4 linked regions of the Yarrowia lipolytica genome follow. The protein of the gene in region 1 purifies or fractionates together with the protein of each later gene. This does not show direct contact. Links are inferred from orthologs where the notes say so. Each region holds a gene or a part of one and is shown in the gene's direction. Other genes may lie near its edges. The genes, in order: YALI1_B21714g, YALI1_D11151g, YALI1_F19106g and YALI1_E06882g.

What was found.
Region 2: the proteins of YALI1_B21714g (region 1) and YALI1_D11151g purify together in Saccharomyces cerevisiae (affinity purification with mass spectrometry; 4 studies listed by BioGRID). This does not show direct contact. The link is inferred for Yarrowia lipolytica from reciprocal best matches to the Saccharomyces cerevisiae genes NSA1 and RRP1.
Region 3: the proteins of YALI1_B21714g (region 1) and YALI1_F19106g purify together in Saccharomyces cerevisiae (affinity purification with mass spectrometry; 6 studies listed by BioGRID). This does not show direct contact. The link is inferred for Yarrowia lipolytica from reciprocal best matches to the Saccharomyces cerevisiae genes NSA1 and NOP15.
Region 4: the proteins of YALI1_B21714g (region 1) and YALI1_E06882g purify together in Saccharomyces cerevisiae (affinity purification with mass spectrometry; 6 studies listed by BioGRID, with this or other methods). This does not show direct contact. The link is inferred for Yarrowia lipolytica from reciprocal best matches to the Saccharomyces cerevisiae genes NSA1 and EBP2.

What each region holds. Positions count from the first base shown.
Region 1 is NC_090771.1:2,169,514-2,173,199, forward strand, and holds YALI1_B21714g (uncharacterized protein), read left to right. Parts: upstream 1-1,895; coding exon 1,896-3,128; downstream 3,129-3,686. Other genes in the region: YALI1_B21675g (uncharacterized protein), read left to right, coding at 1-1,330. UniProt on the Saccharomyces cerevisiae protein: Involved in the biogenesis of the 60S ribosomal subunit.
Region 2 is NC_090773.1:1,113,779-1,117,011, reverse strand, and holds YALI1_D11151g (uncharacterized protein), read left to right. Parts: upstream 1-1,839; coding exon 1,840-2,718; downstream 2,719-3,233. Other genes in the region: YALI1_D11159g (uncharacterized protein), read right to left, coding at 1-1,036. UniProt on the Saccharomyces cerevisiae protein: Required for 27S rRNA processing to 25S and 5.8S.
Region 3 is NC_090775.1:1,908,639-1,911,934, forward strand, and holds YALI1_F19106g (uncharacterized protein), read left to right. Parts: upstream 1-1,965; coding exon 1,966-2,793; downstream 2,794-3,296. Other genes in the region: YALI1_F19090g (uncharacterized protein), read left to right, coding at 425-1,534; YALI1_F19126g (uncharacterized protein), read right to left, coding at 3,109-3,296. UniProt on the Saccharomyces cerevisiae protein: Involved in the biogenesis of the 60S ribosomal subunit. Required for pre-rRNA processing and cytokinesis. Associates with the precursors of the 25S and 5.8S rRNAs.
Region 4 is NC_090774.1:686,729-689,989, forward strand, and holds YALI1_E06882g (uncharacterized protein), read left to right. Parts: upstream 1-1,554; coding exon 1,555-2,721; downstream 2,722-3,261. UniProt on the Saccharomyces cerevisiae protein: Required for the processing of the 27S pre-rRNA. Probably involved in the step of the processing of the 27 SA precursor into the 27 SB intermediate.

The sequences.
Region 1 (3,686 bases):
TGACTTCCAGCACGACAACCAGCTGCATCCTCAGCTGACGCAAATTCGAAACCTCGCACAGACCCAGCAGGTCCATGCCATGCATCAGCTGCTGCCCCAGTACCAGGGTATGGCTCAGGTCCCCAGCCAGGCTTCTCTGCAGCAGCATTATCCTGTGCAGCAGCAACATCATCCTGGTGTCCCTCAGACCCCGAAGCCCATGTCCATTCTTGAACAGATGGCTGCCCAGCAACAGGCTGCTCGAATGACCCCCATGACTCAGAGTAACTTCTACGTGAGCCCCATTCAGCCCTTATCTCCTGTTCAACGACAGATGGCCCAGACTCCTCAGATGTCTCTTCTGGAGCAGCTCCAGGCTGCCGGTCGACAGACCCCCCAAGTACACTACTCACCCGTTCTGTCTCCTGTTCAGCAGCACACTCCTGTTGGTAGCATGACTCCTGTTCAGGGCCAATACACTCCTCAACAGGTGGCTCAGTATCAGCTGATGGAGCAGCTCAGCCAGCTTCAGCAGCAGCAGGCTTCTCAGGCCCAGAATACCCAGCACTACCAGGTATCCCAGGCTCAGGCGCAAGCTATTGCCCAGCAGCAAGCTGCCGCCCAGTATCAGGCCGCTGCCCAATATCAGGCTGCCGCCCAGTATCAGTATCAGCAGATGGCTGCTCTTGAACAGCAGCTCGTTGCTCAACAACAGGCCCAACTTCAGGCTCAGGCTCAAGCGCAGGCCCAGGCCCGAGCACAGGCCCAGGCTCAGGCCCAGGCTCAGACCCAGGCTCAGTATGTTGCTGAGCAGCAGGCCCAGCAGCAGGCCCAGCAGCAGGCCCAGCAGCAACTCGCAGCCCAACAGCAGGCTCAGCAGCAGGCCCTGTTGCAGCAGCACCAGAACCAACAGCTTTCGCAGTTGCAGCAGTTGTCACAACTGGAGCAGCTCCATATGCAGCAGCAGGAGCAGATGGCTAAGATGGCTGCCTCGCAACTCACCCCCACATCCATGTCGCCTTCTCAAATGTCGGTGGCTTCCTTCCCCGACCTGGGAGTTCCTCATCCGGCCATGTCCCGAAAGGCGTCGGAGTCCTCACTCAATTCCGCCTCTTCGTCAACTGAGAACAACTCGTTGAACGACCTGTTCAACCAGATCACTCAGCAGGCATCCAATACTTCTTATTCATCGGCCCAACAGAGTCTCCTGGGTCATCGATCCACCCATTCCGGTGTCTCTGGCATTTTCCACCCCCGTCAGGCCAAGGGAAGAAGCCCCGTTGAGAAGACCGGTTTCCCCATCGGACACTCTCCTAGCACTTCCGTCAACTCAGCTAATAATTCTTTTTAGGAGTATCTAACTTATTATCATTATGTATTATGCCCATGTCTTGTAGACTTGCCTTGTTTATACATGAGCCATATACTTGTAGAAACCAGCCATGGGGGGCACAAAGCCTGTAATATCCTATCGCATATGTGCCATTCGTGCTTGTTCCCATCAATAAGAAAGTTGACAGTCACAGGGAACAGCGAGGACAGCGTCTGTCTCAGATGGTGTTCGGAGTGGCCCATCTGTCAAGCTGACTTCATGACAACAAATATGTCAAGTACAAGTAAGGTAATACTCGTTAATTTGTACAATTATCGACTTATTTAAGAAGTTCTTTCCTGCTCAACGGGTGAAGAAAAGTGTTCAAAAGTAAATCATCTTGGTGGCAATTCAGAAAGCTGCCCCCCTCCTCCCCCCGTGTAATTCAACAATAATCGGAGTCACCATTTTCTCTTTGTATCACAGCCCCCTCTACTTATTCGCTTCGCTCAAGACCGACTGCAGAAACTCTAAAAAAATTCATGCACGCAGTCTGACAACATCGTATCTCGAGCAAAGTCTGGGAATCACATTACAGTACACAATGAAGATTTTTCTGGCCGCCGAAGATACTGGAGCAATCAAAGAAGTTGTTTTTGACGAGGGAATGGACACCTCGGTCCAGGACGGACCTCAGCCCCTCATCACATCCTTCGCTGCTCTTGGTAAACTGAAGCACATTCAAAAGCTGGCCCTGGTCACCACATCAAAGGGCACCAAATACATTGCTGCCGCGCGAAAGAACGGTACCATTGAAGTCTACCCATACCTTTTGACCGAGGAGTCGACTCCGATTTTCGTCTACTCTGCTGAGGGGGCAGAAAAATGTCCCTGGATTGGTCTTACCCAGTATGACGACAATACTGTGGTTGCCGGTCTGGAAGATGGTCGACTCTTTTTCCTCGATGTTTCGAAGGTCACCATTGAGTCCGACAAGCCATACGACGCCCCCACTGCCTCTGTCAAGGGCCCCTTGGCATGCTTCGCTCTGGACAGGGAGCTGTATCCTGGCAAGATTGCCGTGGGTGGAAAGGAGCGAGATTTGGAGGTGTTTGGATGGGCTGTTAAAGGTGACGAAGTCACCGTGAGATCCGAGTTTCAGGCCCGAAATGTCAAGTCCAACGAAATCGATATGCGGGTGCCGGTGTGGATTTCTGGAATTCTTTTCCAGGCTTCTGACAAGGATGGATTCAGAGTCATCACTGCCACCAGACATGGACAGATCAGAGTGTATGAGACATGGCATGGAAAGCGACCGAAGTGGGACTTCAAGGTGACAAAGGATCCTCTGCGAACCTTGGCACCCGGTATGGATGCCTCCAACGTCGTCTCTTCAGATGCCCACTCCTCTACGTTCAAGTTCAACTTTGCAGACAATGAGAAGATTGTACTGAAAAACAAAGACAACAACCAGAACAAGGAACACAACAGAAAGTCTCCCTGTGTCGTCGAGAAGTTCCCCGGATCTCTCGGTGCCGTTTTGCATTTAGTTACCACCGACAATGGTTTGTTGGCTACCGTTGGTCTTGACCGATACCTTCGAATTTTTGATCTCGAGACCACCGAGTGCACTGCAAAGATGTTCGTGGGTACCCAAGTGTCCTCTCTGCTTTTCGTGGATACCGAGCGAAAGACAGCCCAGGAAAAGCATGTGGAGGAAACAGCTGAGAAGGAGGATGACGAGCTGTGGAACGATCTAGACAAGGTCGAGAAGAAGAGCAACAAGAGAAGGGTCGCTGGCAACGACGAGGGCAAGAAGAAGCTCAAGTCGGCGTAGATGTAATTAATGTATTATAAGATTTAGAAGCAGTGTCTTCAGAACCAGAACAACCAAAAGGAAGTGCAGTAAGAGCGAATTTCATAAAGATAGAATATGGTCACAACCATCGAGACTCAGAGAGCGTGGGTATTGTACATCATAGCAGGTCTGGTATCTTACATGTGGCAAATCTAAAACTGTCTTCCAGGGAGTTTTGCGATGGGAATCAAACGATGAAACATATTCATCGTGTCATTTGTGTCACCAAACATGTCAGAGAACGGATGTGTCAGCACTACTCGCACATCACTAGCACTTTTACAGTAATTAGTAGTGTACCCAATAGTATATACTTTAATTTACAGTATCTGTACCGCCGTAGTTGGTTTATGAACGTACTGTAGTTGTAACGCACACAGACTCAACTGACCATTCTGCAAGCTCGGGCTGACGTTGAAGAATATCCCCTGTTTGTCTCACATTTTAATATCTTCGCTCTCGAAACTGTATGTGAGTTTGATGTACGTAGTCTCAGGATGTGCCACATTCCTATAATTATACCGTAATTTAGCTCTT
Region 2 (3,233 bases), on another chromosome or scaffold:
GATGAGACACTCGGTACGACATGCCCTCGATGAGAACGGGCTTCTGGTCTCTGAGAGCGATTTCTCGGGCCTTCTTGGTGGCTCGATGCACGGCGAAAATGTCGTTTCCGTCCACTCGAATTGTCTCAATGCCGTAACCAATAGCCCGGGACGCAATACCGTCTCCCTTGTACTGTTCAATGGCAGAAGTAGAGATGGCATAGCCGTTGTTTCGACAGAAGTAGATGACGGGACAGTTTCGAGTAGCAGCAATGTTGAGAGCGGCATGGAAATCACCCTCGGAGGCAGCTCCCTCACCCATGTAGCACAGGGTGACTCCATCGACGCCAGCCATCTTCTGAGCGTAGGCTGTTCCAGCAGCGTGAGGCAGCTGGGTGGCCAGAGGAGACGAAATGGTATGCATGTTGAGCTCTCTGGAGCCATAATGCACCGGCATGTTTCTTCCCTTGCCCTGGTCGTGTTTGTTTCCATAGAGCTGGTTCATGAAGTCGTCCAGAGTGAATCCTCGATACATGTACGCTCCCTGCTCTCTGTACTGGGAGTAGACATGATCCTGAGGCTTGAGGGCGGCTGCTGAGCCCACAGCCATACCTTCCTCTCCCGCGGAAACCATGTAGAAGGACAGACGGCCCTGTCTCTGTGCGTCAAACATGATGGCGTCCATGATGCTCACAGTCACCATGTCCTTGTACATTTTGAGAATGGTGTCGACGGGCAGATCAATCTTGTACGACTTGTCAATCTGCACGCCATCGGGCCCTACTACTCGGTAAGTAGGCATGGAATCCTGGGTCGTGGGGTCCACAAAAGTCATGTTGTTGACAAACGACGTTCGCAGAGCTCCGGGGAACACAAGCTCGCCATTCTGAACAATGGGCTTCTCGACCTCCGCCCGCTCAGTGGGTTTAGTGGTCGACACGTGTCGCACAGACACAAACTGGGTCTTATGGACATGTTTTTGGAGACCAGTTCTCAGAGTCCGAGTACTGGAAAGAGCCTGTCTCAAACAGGCGTGGTTGGAAACGGCTCGAAGCATGACGGGTCTAGTTGTATTCACACAAATGTCGACGTGGTCAGTGGAAGAGTGTCGTAAGATGTCGCGGGGTCTCAGCTGGCTTATAACCCACTACACTTTTTAGGTCCCGGCAATAGATGGTTTTGTGGGGGAGCCTGCATTGGGCATCTGGGTTAGGGCAGGAGATGCGCGTCGATATCCGAACCGTACATACTGCTGGGCGAGGTTATGTGAGATTCGGGGAATACGCGGGCCCCAGATGTTGGCTTGAGTGAGGGCAGTCACGTGGATGGGGTCACGTGAGAGCGAGTGGGCAGATCGGTCTGTTCGCTCCTCCTACGCGGTTGATTCTTTGGCTAGTACCACGGTAGCGACGATATTGTAGCAGTGTAGGCTCCCATGCCGTTGAGCTTTTTTCGCCTTTTTGGGGGGATTTTGTGGGGACACCGTTTGTTGTATTTTTAGAGTTTTAAAAATGGGTGAGTGATAGGGGACAACAGGTTAGTTGGGACTTTAGTTGTGGTTTAGTTGAGGTTTAGTTGAGGGTAAGGGGGTAGTATAGTCTCGAGAAATAGGAAGAGTTGGCCTATTAATATTTATAACACTTTTTGAGGCTTCTAGTGTTGCAAGGACTTTGTCGTTCCTTCGATACCCGCTCTATTGCTGTGATTTACTGCTACCACCATGGGACTCGAACTGAGGTCGCCTGCAACTTTGCCTTTTTCATGCTTCTCTCAAGCAGCACTAAAAAATTTCGAGCTGCAGTGATTGAAAAAATATAGAGGTGCATACAATCCAAACCACCACAAGACACTACAACTACAATGGCTGCTGGCAAAGTGAAAAAGGGGTCCAAGAAGGCCGCCATCAAGGCAGATAAGCCCTACTCTAAGAAGGAAGACAACTCCGCGGATGATATCCAGCTCGGAAGCCCCGATGCTTACCCGTTTATCAAGAAGCTGGCTGCCAATGACCGACCCACTCGAGACGAGACTCTCAACTCGCTCAAGCGGTTCCTGGGAACCCCCAAGGCCTTTGGTGAGCTCGAACTGCTTAAGCTGTGGAAGGGTCTGTTCTTCTCCATGTGGTTCAGCGACCGACCTCGAACACAGCAGCGTCTGGCCGACGACATGGCTTCTCTGCTGCTGGTTGTCCACGAGACCAACTACTTCACATTCCTGGCTTCTTTCTGGAAGATTATGAGCGCCGAGTGGCTCGCGCTAGACAAGCACCGAATCGACAAGTTTTACCTGCTGCTTAGACGGTACGTGGGCTTCGCCTTCCAGCGACTTGCCAAGGAGGACTGGGACGAGACCTGGATCGAGCGACACAATGAGGTGATGAGCAAGATCCCTCTCAACCCCGAAAACCCCAAGATCCCCGACAGTATTCGGTACCACGTGCTGGAAATCTATCTAGAAGAGCTGGCCAAGGTGGTGCTCAAGGACAAGAAGGAGGCCGAGAACGAGGAAGAGGAGGCCGAGCTGGTCAAGGAGCTGTTTGCCGACGTTCCCGTTTCCGAGCTTCTCGAGGCAGTCGAGACTCTGTCCGAGGAGACCAAAAACTCGGTCGTTCAGAAGCGATGTGTGGAGGACGTGCTCGAGAACCCTCTGCTCATCGAGTGGGGTGTTGCCGAGGAGCTCGAGGGCGCTGGCGAGGAGGACGAGGAGGACGAGGAGGACGAGTGGGCTGGGTTTGTTTAAACCCGAGTCTCCGACCATAGCTATCTGGCTCCAAATGGTTTCCCTATAGAACATCACCAAGGATCTAGCAAGCAGTATACGGATACTAGAGATCCATCCATAAAAGACATAGACATATATTTAATATTCACGTACAGATAGTTGTTAGGCGCAGAAAGGAGGTCGTAAGCGATGGTAGAGTGGACAGGGCTTAAAGGCGTACAATTACAGCATGTAGATATATCTTCATTGAGGAGAACAAACTGGCTACAGTAGGTACACACTGTACACACTCTAACCTTCTGTTTCATTGTGGACCAAGAAATGGACATATTCCAGGTTTGCGATACAACTTCTCACGCTCCAATAAGCAAAGAAAGAAGCATTCTCACATTTAGTGGAGCACACAATTCGCTGGCAGTAGAGTGTCCGACAGTCACTCTCTACAAGAAGTCCGCACTTGTCAAGTTATCTTTTTATACTGGTTACAATGGACTAACCCGTGTTCACAATTGGATCTCTTTTTTATTTATATA
Region 3 (3,296 bases), on another chromosome or scaffold:
GCCAGAGTTCGGAGCAAAGCCAAATTGCTTCAGAACCGAGAGCTATGCAGAAAACCACCCAAACTCTGAAAAATGGATACGTCAGCCACCAGGTGCATTAGATCCATAGTACATGCAAAAATGGCTCAATGGGCAATGAAAACGGTGTTCGGAATATCCGGATTGTTCAATTGACCCAACGAGAACCAATTGCCAGTGCTCCAATTTCCAATCGCATCATTATGTGATGTTGAACGGTCCGCGTGGTCTCTTTCCCTGTGTGCAACTACCGATTTGCTGAAAATAAGCTCTGGATTGGACAAGGTAAATTCAACTCGCGTTGTTATTGGGTCAAATTTAGGGTTCCAGCTTTTCCTATTTTCTCGTCATCCCTTCCTCCCGGGTTTTCCTTTTCTCCATCAGTAGTCTGAATCAAATCACCACAATGGCTCTCTTCCCATCTGTTTCCGCCATTCAGGCCTCCTTCGACCCCAACGGCGCCCGTGCTGGTGCTTTCAACGTCCGATCTTCTCTCGACAAGACCGTCGAGAAGGTCGAGAAGAAGGCTGACGCTCTCGTCTCTGATGCTAAGGCCGAGGTCGCTAAGGCCGGCGATGCCATCAAGGCCCAGAAGGCCAAGGGCATCAAGCTCTACTCCCCTGAGTTCTACGCCACCTGTGTTGCCGGTGGTATGCTCGCCTGTGGTGTTACCCACGCTCTCGTCACCCCTCTTGATCTCGTCAAGTGCCGACGACAGGTGAACCCCGCTCTCTACTCCTCCAACATGCAGGCCTGGAGATCCATCATTGCCTCTGAGGGTATGGGTGGTATCTGGACCGGTGTCGGTGCCACTCTTATCGGTTACTCTCTCCAGGGTGCTGGTAAGTACGGTTTCTACGAGCTGTTCAAGAAGAAGTACGGTGACTTCGTTGGCGCCGAGAACGCCGAGAAGTACAAGACCTTTGTCTACCTCGCTGCCTCCGCCTCCGCTGAGGTTCTCGCTGATATTCTGCTCTGTCCCTGGGAGGCCGTCAAGGTCAAGACCCAGACCACCATCCCCCCCTTCGCTACCGGTGCTTTCGATGGTATGAAGAAGATGGTCGCCGCTGAGGGTGTTGCCGGCCTCTACAAGGGTCTTACCCCCCTCTGGGCCCGACAGGTTCCCTACACCATGGTTAAGTTCGCTACTTTCGAGCGAACCGTTGAGCTCATCTACTCTTACCTGCCCTACCCCAAGAAGGACTACTCCTTCCTTGCCCAGACTGGTGTCTCCTTCCTCGGTGGTTACATTGCTGGTGTCTTCTGTGCTATTGTCTCCCACCCCGCTGATGTTATGGTCTCCAAGATTAACTCCGAGAAGCAGCCCGGTGAGTCCACCGGCCAGGCCGTCTCCCGAATCTACAAGAAGATTGGCTTCGGTGGTCTCTGGAACGGTCTCGGTGTCCGAATCGTCATGGTCGGTACCCTCACTGGTCTCCAGTGGCTCATCTACGACTCTTTCAAGGGTATTGTTGGTCTCCCCACCGCTGGTGGCGCCCCCCCTGCCCAGAAGTAAGAGTCTCGACGAGTACTTCTATAAAGTAATTTATCCACCATCCGTGGTAGTAATAGACCAAAATTATGTTGCCATCGTAGCTTTGATTTCATAGTTTTTCGTGTACGTGGTAGCGTATATATATTTTTAGTTTCCCTGTAGTGTTACTTCTGCTATTGATAAGTCATATCATCCGGGAGCATCCCTGAGGCATATCGTTGATGTCGTGAATACACGAGTAACAGTGTACGAGTATCTTTGTCATCATTATTGTTTTCCTCTCTATAATGACCCTTATTGCTTAGTCAGCCTCTTCACTCTTAATGTATCACAGCTGCAGATAAGCTTCGGCATTGAAGCTTATGCAAAAATTCTGTCCCAGCAGTAAAAAAAAAATATTTTGTGTGAGGTAACAGGTGCAGATTTCCTCTCTCATACACACAAACACAACCATGAAGTCCAGTGCATTAAAAAAGGGCCTCAAGTCCTCCAACGGAACCAAGAAGGTTGGAGTGTCTAAGACCGCCACTAAGGTCGCTGCTCCCGCCACCTCCGACGATTTCTCCAAATTCTCTTCCTCGGAGGACGAGGAACAGGATGAGGCTGGATTTGAGAGTAGTGACGACGAAGAGGAGTTTGAGAATGGAGATGACGAGGATGAGACTATGGATGATACCCCTGCTACCGTCAAGAAGACCGCAGTAGCCAAGTCCAATCGAGCTGCTGCTACCACAAAGGCATCCAAAAAGTCTGGAACCGGCGTCATCTATCTGGGTCGAATCCCCCATGGTTTCTACGAGGAGCAGATGCACTCATATTTCAGCCAGTTTGGTGATATTTCTCGACTGCGTCTTTCCAGAAACAAGACTACCGGTGCCTCCAAGCATTACGCCTTCATCGAGTTCGAGTCCAAGGAGGTGGCCCAGGTAGCTGCCGAGACCATGAACAACTACCTGCTCTTCGGCCACATTCTTAAATGCAAGGTTGTTCCTGACGATGAGGTTCACGAGGCTCTCTTTGAGGGAGCTAACAAGACTTTCCGAGTCCTGCCAAGAGCTCAGGTTGCTCAGTACAAGAATGAGAGACCCCGATCCCGAGCAAAGTGGGACCAGCTCAAGAAAGAGTCTGCATCTCTGCTCGATGCCAAGCTGAAGAAGCTTGGTGAGATGGGTATCGATTACAAGTACACCCCCGTCTCTGACGTCCGAGTGCCCAAGAAGGCTGCTGCCGGAGTCGCCGAGGGTGCAAAGAAGAAGAAGCAGAGAACTTCTCTGGCTTAGTTTAGAAAGAAAAGTCTCATGTTGGATCTTGGAGTCGGAATTATCTTATTGTTGCATGTCTCGTATATTTATGGGGAAACATATTACTACTAGTTAGGTCTAATAAACCTGTAATATTAATAATGAGCTTTATATCTTGTAGTTGGAATCATGGACAGTCAGTCTTGAGCGTAGATACGTAATTCGTATGTCGCAAGTTATCGTTACTCTGGCTCCTTTGTTCGATGCTTGGTGCTACTGGATTGGTCTGCTCAATGCTCACGGTTGATGGATCTATGACCGATATCTAATTATTAGCTAAGTGTATTAAAATTATTATTTCCAGACGTTGGCAAAAACGTCATCCTCCTGCTTCTTGGGAGCGGCGGCATCGGCCCAGTCGTTGTGAGCGTTGTTCTGCTGCTGAGGAGCTCCACCAAACCCGCCAAATCCGCTGTTAGCCTGTTGCATGTTCCCAAAACCGCTGTTGGTCTGTTGCTGCATGTTTCCAAAACCTCCAAAGT
Region 4 (3,261 bases), on another chromosome or scaffold:
GGAATATATCGTACGATACTGGATGGCGCTACCAGTTCTATACGAGCAGTGAGTGCTACAAGTGGTATTAGTATCACTGTGGCCATTAATTGGTGTCGGTTCTGTACATACAATGCCTCTATTGTTGGTTTTGTCAGCAGAGGTACTTTTTTGCAGCAAAACACTCTCTGATTGCACTCTGTCTGCACTCTGTTTGCACTGGGTAAGTGCTTTTCTCGTAAAGCTGATAAGGTGCTTTTGCCACGCTTTTTCAGCACCCCCATATTCTTGTCTATTTCCTTTTTGCAAACCCAGACTCAATATCTGCCAATATGGTGACAGGCATGGTGCATACGTACAGTATGTACCAGTTTTGCAGTTCAGTACGATCGTTAGATAGAGCACAATTGTATCACGGTGTCTTGCCGTGGAAAAGGTACGGAAACAAGGTGAATCTATTATTTATGATTGAACGGGGCTGCCGAATCGATATCTGGACTCCACATTGAGACCCCACTAGTTTACGTTCCCTGCTACATACTGTAAGCCAGTCTTCCTGAAATCATCGTTGCCAGCCTTTGCCCCAACTATATGCACTCCCTCAGTTCATCATATTCAAGAAAAATCACTCACAAATTCCCTCTTTGATGGTATTTCTTTTTTCGGGCCGCCATAAGGCGCAAACGGCCATCGACATTACAAGACACAGGGCTTGGTACTCGATGATAATTCTAACCTAATAAGACGAGATAGACGGCAAATTGAGTCTTTACGGCTGCTGAAGAGTTTGTTACTTGTGTGAGTGGGTAGATGCTTGCGGCACTGCAGCTACAGAGAAGTTATTTGCTGAGTGGTGCATTCCATCTTGCCATCTTCTGGAAACTACGATCTTATCTACAAGTAGTGATCTCTTTGTATTCAAGTTGATCTTTTTTGCGGGACCTATCAAGGTCAACTCTACCTGAATCAACTGTTGACCTCCATCCTACATCAGTGCCCATGTATGTAATAATTCATCACCAGCTTCTCCGATCAGAATCATTTGTATCGTCGGTGTTCAACAGATGCGTCTAGCTGGTTAAAGCTCGTATTACAGTATTGATTTACCTGGTGTGACTTCTTGGCAGGGCTCTTTGATCTATTTTCAACTTCACCACTTATTAATTTATCGCTATGTATTTTTTTCAAATATTTTCCAATTTCTCCCGTTAATTTGAGAAATAAAACCCCCCGCTTAATCATCTCTAAATCATGGCTCAAGTTTTTATCAAGGTGCATTAAGTTCAACGGGCAGGCGCTACTTGGAGGCGAAGAATAATTGAAAACAAATGTACTTGCTATTCTAATAAAAATACAGTAAAAATAATATTAAACATTTCATATCAATAATTGCAACCAGTAATTCGTTACATTTCAAATGTTTTCTCCCTTAAGAATCTCTTAAGAACAAGAACCAGTTAATCCTGTGCCTTCTCAGCTCCAAACTCTATCTGAAAAGTTTCTGGTTTTCCAAAAAAATTCCTCCCGTGCATAGTCTTATTTCCCACCCACCACACACACACACACGAACACACAATGGGAGCCCCCAAGTTGAAGGATTCTCTCAAGGCCGCTAAGGCCAACGACAAGGCCGCCAAGCTGACTGCCAAAAAGGGCGTTCTTCCCAAGCCCAAGGACCTGGCAGTAGTTGCCAAGCAGCAGATTGCGCACGAGGACGATGGAGATGATGAGGAGGACGAAGATGATGAAGAGGAAGACGAGGAGGACGAGGAGGACGAGGAGGACGAGGACAAGACTCCTGTTCTGTCTCGAAAGGAGGCTCGAAAGATGAAGAAGCTTGCTGCTGCTGCTGCTGCTGCCGAGGAGGACGATGATGAGGAAGACGATGATGAGGTTCCCCAGCTTTACGACACCACCCGTCTCGATCTGTCCGAGTCCGAATCCGAGATTGAGAATGTCGAGAACGAGGTGGAGGACATTCCCCTGTCTGATGTGGAGCTCGATTCCGACAACGACGCCATCCCCTACCAGAAGGTGACCAAGAACAACAAGCCTGCCCTGATGCAGGCCAAGGCTCGAATCTCGTTGCCCTACGCCAAAATGACCTTTGTCGACACCCTTGTGCATACGTCTGGAGCCATCGAGCTCAAGGACATCTACGACGACATGGAGAAGGAGCTGGCGTTCTACAAGCAGGGTCTGGATGCTGCCAAGGTGGCTCGAAAGGAGCTGCTCAAGGCCAAGGTTCCGTTTACCCGACCTCTGGACTACTTTGCCGAGATGGTCAAGTCCGACGAACACATGGAGAAGCTCAAGCAGAAGCTGATCGAGGAAGCCACCTCCAAGAAGGCTTCCGAGGAGGCACGACGACAGCGAGACCTCAAGAAGTTTGGTAAGAAGGTGCAGCACAACAAGCTGCAGGAGCGAGCCAAGGACAAGAAGGAGACTCTGGAAAAGATCAAGTCCTTGAAGCGAAAACGAGCTGGCCAGGAGATGACCTCCGAGGAGTTTGACATTGCCGTCGAGGAGGCGGCTGCCGACAACCATAATATTGAGGGCAAGAACCACAAGAGACAGGCCAAGGATGCCAAATTTGGATTCGGTGGCAAGAAGCGATTCCGAAAGGCCAACACCTCCGAGAGCTCGGGCGACCTGTCGGGCTTCAACCAGAAGAGAAATAACGCTCCTGTTAAGAAGCGTCAGCAGTCGAGACCCGGCAAGAGTCGACGAAACCGGGGTTAGAACAGGAAGGTAAAAGGAACTGATTATTCAGAGGTAATAGATTGAATGTTGAACTTATTACACGTGTACGAGTAGCATACCCACTGTAGATCTGCAAAGCTAGATGAGGTTGAAAACGTAAATACTGTAGCGACGAGATAGCGAAGATGATTTGATAGGGTACAATAGCGAGTACGAGCACAAGTACCCAGTGTGTGATCTACATTGAAGGGGTATAACTTAAGCTACAAGTACAAGTACAAGTACCGGTATAATGAGGTGGGGTCCATTTGTGTATGTGTACGTATTACTAAGTCAACATGTCAACATACAAGTACATCTTGTACTAGAACATACTGCAATGTTTCACAGTGTAATCTGACTCCAATGTGATACAGTGATGGAGATGTGACTCAGCTGTGGCTCAAGCCCTGACACCGACAATAGACATAGAGTCATGCTTTTGACTGACACTTTGCACCATGACCAACCTTTTGCCCACCTAACGACTTGTGCTGGATAACACAGGCCACGCACCAGAGCACCAGGTAGACTCGGACC